3 linked regions of the Tribolium castaneum genome follow. The protein of the gene in region 3 purifies or fractionates together with the protein of the main gene of each other region. This does not show direct contact. Links are inferred from orthologs where the notes say so. Each region holds a gene or a part of one and is shown on either strand. Other genes may lie near its edges.

Region 1 (3,760 bases), on a different chromosome or scaffold from region 3:
TTGAATACACTGGCAAACCTTGTCTCTCACTAATGATAGCTTTCAAATCAACGTCATGATTCAATTTTTGTTTGGTTTCTTCGGCCAAATGTTCGCTCAACTCGTCCAAGTTGGCGTTGGCAAGGGGGCCCTCATCAATGTTGCACCCAGTCCAAGGATTCCAATTTTGTTGAGGAGGCGACCATGGGACAACTCCTGCAGCTATCGGTTTGGAGGCTTGAAAGTCGTCCAAAATGTGATTGCTCAAAAGTGAAACCGGTTGGCTTTCGCTTTCCGGTTTAACCTCAACCGGAGTGATATTCAAAGTGTCGAGGCAATCTTTGATTTGTTTTTGTAAATCTGGGGAGATTTTTACATCGAAAGGTTTCATTTCACTGCCGGTTTTCTCTTTTTTAAGTGTTCCGGAAAATGCTTCAATTACACCGAGATGGAACAGTTGGCGAATGATGGAAAGAGCGCAACTTTTACTAGCGGTTTGCTTATTTGAACCGGAATCACGACCGGTTATTGTACGTCCGAGTTGCTTGACGTAGAAGCTCATTTCGGCCACAAAAGTCCTAAGAAATGGGAGCATTACAGTTGAGAAATAGGGGATTAAAAGTATACTTACAAGTGTATAATGCAGAGTTTTTATATTGTACCTTGGAGGAAAAACAGAACCAAGAACAGTAAAATATTTGAGTTGTTCCCACGGTAGCTGCAGTGGAAAATTATTATTTAAGAAACTACTGCAAGAAGTAAAACAGAAGTTTCATAAATAAAAAAATGACCTCAAAGTTACTAATTTTTTAATCAAACCAGTAACTCTATTATCAAAATGCCATTCAATTGGTTAAATAAAACATAAACGCATTCACAACTTCCTTCTTTCCAGAAAGAAAATCGTGAATTTTTTGGTAAATAAACGAAATAAATTATTCTATCCACTGTACTTAGTTCTGCTTTTCCACCTCTACTATTTTTTCTCTGCAGAAAAAAATAAAAAAGATAGAAAAATTTTAATTTCTTCAATCTTTCATTTTTTTCTAAAAATTTTCAAACCATAAATAGTCAAACAATAACAATAATCCTTCTGGCAGAAATGTTGGTTTTTTCAAAGCCAGAAAAAAAAATCGTGAATGGATAAAATAATAATGAAAATAAATTATTCTATCCACTGTTCTTGGCTTTGCTTATCTGTCTTTACTCCTTACATTTTTTTATTATTTCTTCTATTGGTGCCTCATTCTCTATTGCAGATTTAATTAAAAAAAAAAAAAAACAACATTTTTTCCTTCTTTTCGTTTTTTTTTCTATTTTTGGTATTTTTTATTATGTATATTTATTTTATTATTACGGTTCTTTCTTTATTTTTTATTCTCGTTCTCTTATACAAAAAATATTTAAAATAAACAGTGCAGGGGAAATGTTAAATTTCCAAGGCCAGAAGAAAAACGTGAGTAAACAATAAACAAAATAAATTATTCTGTCACTGTTCTTGGTTATGCTCTATTATTTTATTATTTTTCAGTTTTTCTACTGTGCCTATTTTTCTCTCTCTCCTCCCCCCACACAAACTTCCATCTACTCACTCTCTCAATACCAACCTGGAATGGTCTGGCCCCACTTGCGTATACTTATAATCCGCGTGTATTTTATTGCTTTGCATAAACTGATGCAGCTTTGACTTTGCATTCTCCACAGTCCAATTGCCATGAATCTGAGCATTCACATCCAAATCCTCTGCATCCTCCACACTCTTCTGTTCCTGCGCCCTGTTCATGTAATGCCAATCGTCGTGATCGCGCCCCAGAGGCCTGTAGGCCTCCCCAAACGACGAGGGCCCCATTCCCTGTCGAAACACCGAAGGGGCGGGCCCCCGATTCATCGGAACGGTGTTTGGACCTGGAGGCGCATCCTGGAAGTCGGGCACGTCGGCGGGGTTAACAATGCCTTCCCGGACGAGGTAACTGACGAAATCGCGGGCGGCGTTGCTTTGGGCGTCCTTTTTGTTGGTGGAATTGCCAGCCCCCACGTAACTGTAGCCATCGATGCGGACTTCGCAGAGGAATCTCTGGCGGTGTTTGGGGCCTTTGGGGAAATTAGTAAAGGGTGAAAAGGGGCTGCGGCTTACCGGTTGGCCGGACTTCAAACTGGGGCTGCTCTTTCTTGGTCTTCTGGCAGAACTGGTGCAAGAATGATTTTATATCGGACATCCTATTGAAATTTCGTATTTTTTAATCGAAGAAAATGCCGGTAAAAAATACGACCTTGGAAAAGTTTTGACATTTAACCACAGAATAGAGTCCGCGAAATGACAGATCGTCCACGGTGGTAGGAGTGCGCAGAGACGAAAACTCGTCTCGGACGAGTCCAATCTTTAAATTAGGGGTGTTGGCAGAAAACAGTGGCGTGGCGTGTACTTACATGTGTAGGGAATTCGTCTTAAAGTTTAACATTTCAATATTACCAGTTATAGTAAAGATACCAGTAGAAACATTTTTTGCAATAAACGCGTTTTTACTCTTTACTCATTGTGTATTTTTATTTATTCGACCTCTCTGCTTTGTATTTCTAGGAAATCAACGTGTATTAGCATTAGATATGATTTTTACTATTTCATCTTGCAATTATTGAATAGAGGAAATTTTAACTACTACAAATTATGAATCTCAAACCCTTCTTGATCATAGAATAGTTTTTTGCTACGCCACTGCTCAATCTCCTCACTCGATGAAGTACGCATTGGCTCCGCCTATCGTGGTCGTTTACAGAGTTTCCGAGCTCTACCACTAATTTTCGCACTAAAATTTCACATTGCCAGTTTCTGTTTAAATATAAACATGCATTTTTATTTTTCCATTAACTGCATGCGAAACTTTTATAATTTTAGACGTTTATAGACAAATACATTTGTCATAATTAACTTTTCTAGATCAATACTGTTCTATTTTGAATAATTCTGTGTATGAATGTTTCTAAATTTGACGGATTTGGACAGTGAATGTTTCTGGTTATGACTTGTTTTAGACGTGTGATGACGTCACATCCGAGGTTAGGTGTGCGGCGCAGGCGGCGAGGGCGGTTCAGTCGACAGCGAGCAGTGGCACGGGTCAGATCGGGAGCGGAAGCGGGAGGCGAAGCGAGGTGAGTCGGTTTATTTAAATTATTGTGTATTGTGCGGTTTCGTTCAATTTATTCAGTTTGTTACTTGCCGTTGTCGCGAACGGACGTGTGTTCAAGCAAATCTAAATTTTCCGGTTTAAATTTTCAATTCGGTGGCTAGTGATCGCGTTTGAGTGACACATTTTAAATACAGTAAATAAAATTATTATCAAACACTCAAATAATTTATTGCCACGTAATAATTTTGTCTTTAATTTCAATGAATGAAAGTGGCTTGCTCAAAATTTAATGCAAATAAACATTTTTTTGGTTTCATTTTTATTATTATTTTTTTTAATGCTACAAACGGTAGCCAACGAGGAAGCGATATGAAGGTAGGTGTATTTTATTGCTGTGTCGTATTTATTTATTTCACAAACCAATAATTTCATAAAACTTAATTGCAATTAAAATCTTTAAATGCGGTGTTGAAAGTGACATTTTGAGTGACGCATTTTAGATACAGAAACTATAAATAAAATAAAACACTCAAATAATTTATTGCCACGTAATTTTGTCTTTAATTTCAATGAATGAAAGTGGCTGCTCAAAATTTAATGCAAATAAACATTTTTTTGGTTTCATTTTTATTATTATTTTTTTTAATGCTACAAAC
Region 2 (3,660 bases), on a different chromosome or scaffold from region 3:
TTCGGAAATATGGGTAAACACCAAGTTTTTTCTCCAATTTTTCACAAACTTGCGATTTCAGGATTGTACTACGACGTCCAGGAGATCCTACCGTTTTTGTCCGGCGATTACAGGTTTAATAAAGCCAATGAACGAGTGACAAGATTTACAAGTTTGGAAGTCGAAGTCCGGGCTTTGATTGAAGGACAGTTTATCGCAAGACGGGCTTACGTCGAAGACATTGGATTTAAATTGGACAAAGAAACGAAGATTCTAGCAACGGGAGGTGCTTCCAATAATAAAGCAATTCTTCAAGTGCTTTCGGACGTCTTCAACGCACCTGTTTACCTCCTAGTGAGTATTAACTTTTTTAACTAGCGTTTTTATACTGTATTTAAAAGTCAAAAAGCCGCTGCCATTGTCAAAAGTATAGAAAAAATAACTATGTAACTCATGTAGGACGAATCGAAGTCGGCCATGTTGGGGGCCGCTTATCAAGCGAAACACGGACTTTTGGGCTCTCAAAGTAACTACTTTGAGATTACGTCATGTCTCCCCCCACCACGACTCATTTGTCAACCATATTCCGACGCTAGTGAGATCTACGAACCAATGGTTGCGCGATATAGAAAGTTGGAGGCTATGCTTTTAGGAAATAAAGTCTGAATATACGTAATAAATATACCATTCTAGTGATAATTTATTTGAATTCTTGATTAAATACACTTTATTTTTTGCGACCACCTCTTTCCTTCACTTGTAGTTGTATTACAGCCCCCGTGATGATATTATAGTAAGCAAGCGTGTTTGAATCCTTGAAAAACATGCCCTGGAAAAAACAAATAAGTAACCAACAAAAAAAATTTAATAATTAAATTTACATCATAAAATAATTTTTGTTTCGCCGGAGGCATATTGGTCTCTTCCTGTATTTTCGATTTGATTGAAGAAACACTTTCGGAAAGTGGGACATTCAACGCCATCATTTGTCCCGTCAATTTCCATTCTGTCTTTTCGGGAACCACCGGAATGGCGATTTTAATCGAAACAGGATTCTGTAATTTAAAATTGTAATTTTGACATGCGCACACTTGATCAAACGTACCGGATTGCGTGATAAGAAAACTTCTTCAGGGATGAGTGAATCCTCATTTCGCATTTTTTTATTCGACGGTTCTTCTTCCGGTTGCGTCTCACTTGGATGTTTGACCGGCATTCCGCCCATGGGTGGCATCTGGGCCATGGGTGTGACAAAACCGGCCATGGGTGGAGGTGCTGCCACTAATGAAAAACTTAATAACTTGTTTCATTAAAAGCAAAAAAAAACCTACTCATGAGTGGTGGTGGCCGCATAGGAGCCATAGGCGGCGCTGGCATCATCATAATGGACGTCTGTTGTAGCATCGTGGCTTGCTGTGGAACCTGAACGATGGTTTGAGTTTGTGTTTGCATAACTGCTGATACCGGTGTGGTTTTAACCGGCTAAGCAATATATACAAGTGAGAAATGAACGGAATCTGTTCATACTTACCGGGTTTGGATTTGCGAGAGGTTTCGCAGAGATTATAGCAGCGGCAGCGGCCGCAGCGCTAACTTTAGCCTGGGCTTTGCTACCAACCACGTTTTTCGGACCGATCTTCTCTTTCTCCTCGTCCGGCAATAGCCCTTTCACCTAAAAATGTTTGTTTGTTTTTTACTGCACCGCAATAGCCATAATGACGCGACATGTGCGTCTCACCAACAAAGAAAAACGACAAACTCTAGAGCCGAACCGAGATAATAATTAAAAATCGAAAATTTCGAAATTACAGCAAACAGACCGACAATAAGAGTAACTAAAATAAAAACATCGTGAATAATGCCTTCTCTTTTCATCATAGAGATGGGAGTTTAAAAAATCACAGTTAATAATAAAAAACAAACCCAGAAATTAAAGATTATTAGAATCGTAACATGTAAGAGTATTTCACATAAAGTATAATAATTAAAAAGTTAAAAAACACGGCACAGTACACGGTTATCATAAGCCCACCTCCAACGGAAAAAAAATTTGTTTGATATTTGGATGTTATTTATGTACACGCTGTTCCGTCTAAACCCCAGATATATTGGGAATTGGGAGTTCTAAATAATGATAGTTATCTGAAAATTTGTATACAACCATAATCCGTTAAGTCTGATCAATGAAAATACTTTCAATAAGGTTATCCCATAAGTAGTTATCAACTTTCTTAATTTAAATGGAAAGCTATTTATGTTTTAATAATGCATTTTTGGATTACTTGAGTTATTTTAAGGGAGTTTTTAATAGTTTTTTTATACTTATATTTAATCGGTTTCGAAATATTTAGTTTTTTGAAAAATTTTGATTTGCATCTTTGACTTGAAAAATCTGCTTTTTTTTAATGTTTAAATCCTTTTTGGCTTGTTTGAAAGAAAAAATCTTTTCTTTGGTGTCTTCACACTAAAAAAGTAAGTTGCAGCACTCCAAATACCAATAACTCAAAATTTTTAAATGAAATTCCACAATTTTTATTTCACTAAAGGGTAGAAAATTTAATTTTGTATCAATTCCATACAGTTATACGAATTTTTTTGTTGGTATTGAGAAATGCCATAGCGCTTTTCGCATGCGTTGCCATCGAGGTTGCCATGGAATCATGAGTAAAATACAGGTTGTATCAAAAATACGTGTTTCTTTTGTGGAAACAAGTCGGTCAGTGTTTAATAATTAGTTTGTATTCATAGCAACAATTTTTATTGTTATTTTAAATTGTTTACATGTTCCGTTTCTATCACAATGAAAATAGTTCGGCTCTCTTATTTTTGTACCCATAGGCAGGTACACGTTTCAGTATGTTATCTTTTTCCAAATTTTAAGTAAATTTGCGAATTTTTTGTTGAAAAATTACAAATAGAATGTTTTTATATTTGCTGAAGTCTATTACCTGTCAAAATTAAGACACGTATTCCTGATACACCCTGTATAAGAAATCTAAAGTTTTTCAAATCTAAATTCAATGAATTTATTTGTTTTAATGGAAAGGAAAGCAAAATTTTGAACAGAGCTTATCGCTTATTCAGTGAGAAATGTTTCCTTGTAAAACTCTGCAAAAATAGCTCTTGCTAGTAAGGAACCTCGGGCAATGTCAAAAAAAACCAACATAACTTAAAAATTATCACAGATAGGTATAGTTAATGCTAATACAGATCGTTGAAGAATTACATTTTTCCACCTACTGAAATAAAAATTCCATTTGAAAAAACTGATATATAGCTTGTAGAAGTGTTCAAATATGTTAAAATTTTAAGGTTTGTAAACTTTTTTCCAATTAGTTTGATTTCGTCGAAGATGGTGCTCAAAAACTGGCGCACCAACTCAGTAGTACGTTATTGAGAAGCAAGTGCAGATTACGGGAAAAATGTTGAAAAAATTCCTAAAGTCATATTTTAAAAAATCTGGAGCTACAAACTTATTTTGTTAACTTCTTCAGTTCTCATTTTTTTTATGTTTTTATTTTCATACCAGGTAATCGATCCGTAACAAAACGATGAATAATTATTTTTAAATTTTCTATCAGACTTTAGCAGTTTTTTTAATTTACAAAAATTAAAATTTATCCAAAAAATCACAATGTGTAGATGTGACAACACTGGGAATTATTTCCTAGGAAAACGTTT
Region 3 (2,449 bases):
TACCAACTTATTTTCTTAGCTTTTTCAGTTCTCATTATTTTTTAATGTTTTATCTTTCACACTAAATAATCGCTCCCTAACAATACGATGAATGATTACTTTTAAATTTACTATCAGACTAAGTTTCTTGAATATAAAATTTCTCAAAAAAATCACAATTTGTTGATGTGCCAACACTGGAAATTATTTCCTAGGAAACCGTTCCAAAAATACTTATTTTATTGTTGATCAAAATCTATTGCGATCACGACTGTTAGACAGCGTATTGGCCGTTTCAAAATTATAAAAACGCCAACGTCGTATTTTCTCTCAAAATTAGCTGTTATAAATTATTCATGCATTTCAAAAAAATAATAGCTAATGTTAATTTATACCTTCAATGAGAGATCTAATCCCCAATAACCATTTTACAATGTTGTGAATCTTATTTAAAGAAATAATTCGGTAAAATGCGACGTTGGCGTTTTTATAATCTTGAAACAGTTAATCGCCAGATACCATTTATTAAAAATTCGTTATTGTGAAGTTTTGAAGAAAAAAGTTGTTTATGAGTTATTTTTTGACTTTGCAGGAAAATGGAATTAGGAAAGGTCATACTATAACAAAAAGTAATTTGTACTTAAAAATGTATTATACATAAAATAATTATTCACTAAACATGCCATACTCGTGACCACTCAACTTCTCGTGTTGTGTAATTACTAGAAAACACAAAGCTTTAAATCTTATAGATCACCTTATAAAAACTGAAATGAATATGATACTGTAATGGAAATAAAACACTCATGAATCTATTTGGAAAAAATCTTCTAATACGGCCTGGAACGTCCTCCATCGCGACCGCCGCCACGATCCCTAAACATCAAAATTAAAATCTTTCCTACACCAAATTTTGTCACAAATACCTTCCGCCTCCTCCTCGACCGCCGCCGAAACCGCCTCGGCCTCCTCTTCCACCGCCAAATCCGCGACCTCCTCGATCACCACCGCGGAAACCGCCGCCACCACCTCTTCTATCTCTTCCACGGTCACGGTCTCTACCGCCTCCGCCGCCGCCTCCTCTGCGATCTTCACCCCCGGAACCGGCACCTTCCGGCTTATCTTCACTGCATCTATTGCACTGATTCCTCCAAGCAAAATTTGTGTTGCCACAGTCTGGGTTTGGACATTTCCAGTCTCCTTCGCGGCTTTCGCGGTCTCGGCCACCGCCACCACCGCCGCCGCCGCTACCGCCTCCACCACCACCGCCGAAACCTATACCAAACAATTATTGTTTGCCAATCAAATAAAAAAAATGTTTCCCTAGACAGGATACATCAGAAGCAACCAAACTGCTACTGTGTGTTTAATGGGGAATTAATCTGCCCCTTAAAATAAAAACAGATTTTGGCCTATTTTAGACAAATCTGGGTCGGAAGGGGTATTAATTTCTTTTAAAAAAATTGCAAACTCACGTACCTCCATCTCGGCCTCTTGGGCCTCCTCCAAAACCGCCCCCGCGGCCGCCACCTCTTCCACCTCCGCGGCCGCCACCGCCACTCCAATTATCCTTTTTCGTGGCCAACTGTACCCTTATTTGAGTACCACCGAATTCTTTCCCGTCGAACCAAGAAATTGCTGATTGAGCTGCATTGGAATCGTCATACGTAACAGTGGCTTCACCCTTTGAAAGTCCGGTCTGTTTATCTTTATACAACCAAATCTTCCGTTTCTGGGTTTTCTTGTCCATCTAATCGGAACGAAATAATCATTTCAAATTTGTCAAAAATGGAATTCTTTGTAGCAGATTGAATACACTTGTTTGCAAATATTTCTTGCAATCAAGGAATAGCATCTGTCATAATATTGCGACACATCAAAATTGAACTTGGTCAAGAAAGTGAATCCAAGCACAGAGTGCAGGTCGCTGAGTTTAGTCAAATACTTACTTTAATCACGCCAATCGAACCAAAATGTTGAGCAATTTCGTCTTCGGTGAGATTTGGATTCATTCCAGACACAAAAATCGTGTCGACTTGAACCACCAAGTTACTGCCGCCGCCATTATCTGGAAATTAATACGAAAATGATGTCAAGGGTGAAAAATAATAATTTTACTAAAATTAATTGTTGCGCCAACTAACTCAGTTCTCAAAAACTGTTTCACATCTTATGGTGTGTAAAAACAATACTATATACCTTTTCTCTTACTCTCTCACTCTGAATAAACCTTAAACTTGACCATAACGCACCTTGAAATAAATACCAATTTTTTAATTTAAGACCATTGCGTTTTTGATGCCATTTTACCACGCAATGAAGAAAAAAACCTTCTACAAAAAATAAAGTATGCACTTAGCGCTCAAACGGACAGCATTAAAAGTACTCCTCAATCGAAATTTGTCAAATACGTATCACAATATACCCAATAGAACCTTTTTATTTAATACCAATGAATATAAAAGGAAAA

What was found.
Region 1: the proteins of RNA-binding protein cabeza (region 3) and mle purify together in Homo sapiens (affinity purification with mass spectrometry; 4 studies listed by BioGRID and IntAct, with this or other methods). This does not show direct contact. The link is inferred for Tribolium castaneum from reciprocal best matches to the Homo sapiens genes FUS and DHX9.
Region 2: the proteins of RNA-binding protein cabeza (region 3) and Sf3a1 purify together in Homo sapiens (affinity purification with mass spectrometry; 3 studies listed by BioGRID and IntAct, with this or other methods). This does not show direct contact. The link is inferred for Tribolium castaneum from reciprocal best matches to the Homo sapiens genes FUS and SF3A1.

The regions. Positions count from the first base shown.
Region 1 is NC_087394.1:36,799,313-36,803,072, reverse strand, and holds the start of mle (dosage compensation regulator), read right to left. Parts: upstream 2,793-3,760; 5' UTR 2,250-2,792; intron 2,197-2,249; 5' UTR 2,196-2,196; coding exon 2,114-2,195; intron 2,071-2,113; coding exon 1,587-2,070; intron 698-1,586; exon of another isoform or gene 611-697; intron 558-610; coding exon 1-557. UniProt on the Homo sapiens protein: Multifunctional ATP-dependent nucleic acid helicase that unwinds DNA and RNA in a 3' to 5' direction and that plays important roles in many processes, such as DNA replication, transcriptional activation, post-transcriptional RNA regulation, mRNA translation and RNA-mediated gene silencing.
Region 2 is NC_087397.1:12,575,528-12,579,187, forward strand, and holds the end of Sf3a1 (splicing factor 3A subunit 1), read right to left. Parts: intron 1,652-3,660; coding exon 1,511-1,651; intron 1,462-1,510; coding exon 1,311-1,461; intron 1,261-1,310; coding exon 1,085-1,260; intron 1,035-1,084; coding exon 861-1,034; intron 809-860; coding exon 707-808; 3' UTR 649-706; downstream 1-648. Other genes in the region: xylulose kinase, read left to right, coding at 1-13, 62-333, 439-645. UniProt on the Homo sapiens protein: Component of the 17S U2 SnRNP complex of the spliceosome, a large ribonucleoprotein complex that removes introns from transcribed pre-mRNAs.
Region 3 is NC_087395.1:19,586,555-19,589,003, forward strand, and holds the end of RNA-binding protein cabeza, read right to left. Parts: intron 2,048-2,449; coding exon 1,929-2,047; intron 1,730-1,928; coding exon 1,459-1,729; intron 1,255-1,458; coding exon 906-1,254; intron 856-905; coding exon 810-855; 3' UTR 610-809; downstream 1-609. UniProt on the Homo sapiens protein: DNA/RNA-binding protein that plays a role in various cellular processes such as transcription regulation, RNA splicing, RNA transport, DNA repair and damage response. Binds to ssRNA containing the consensus sequence 5'-AGGUAA-3'.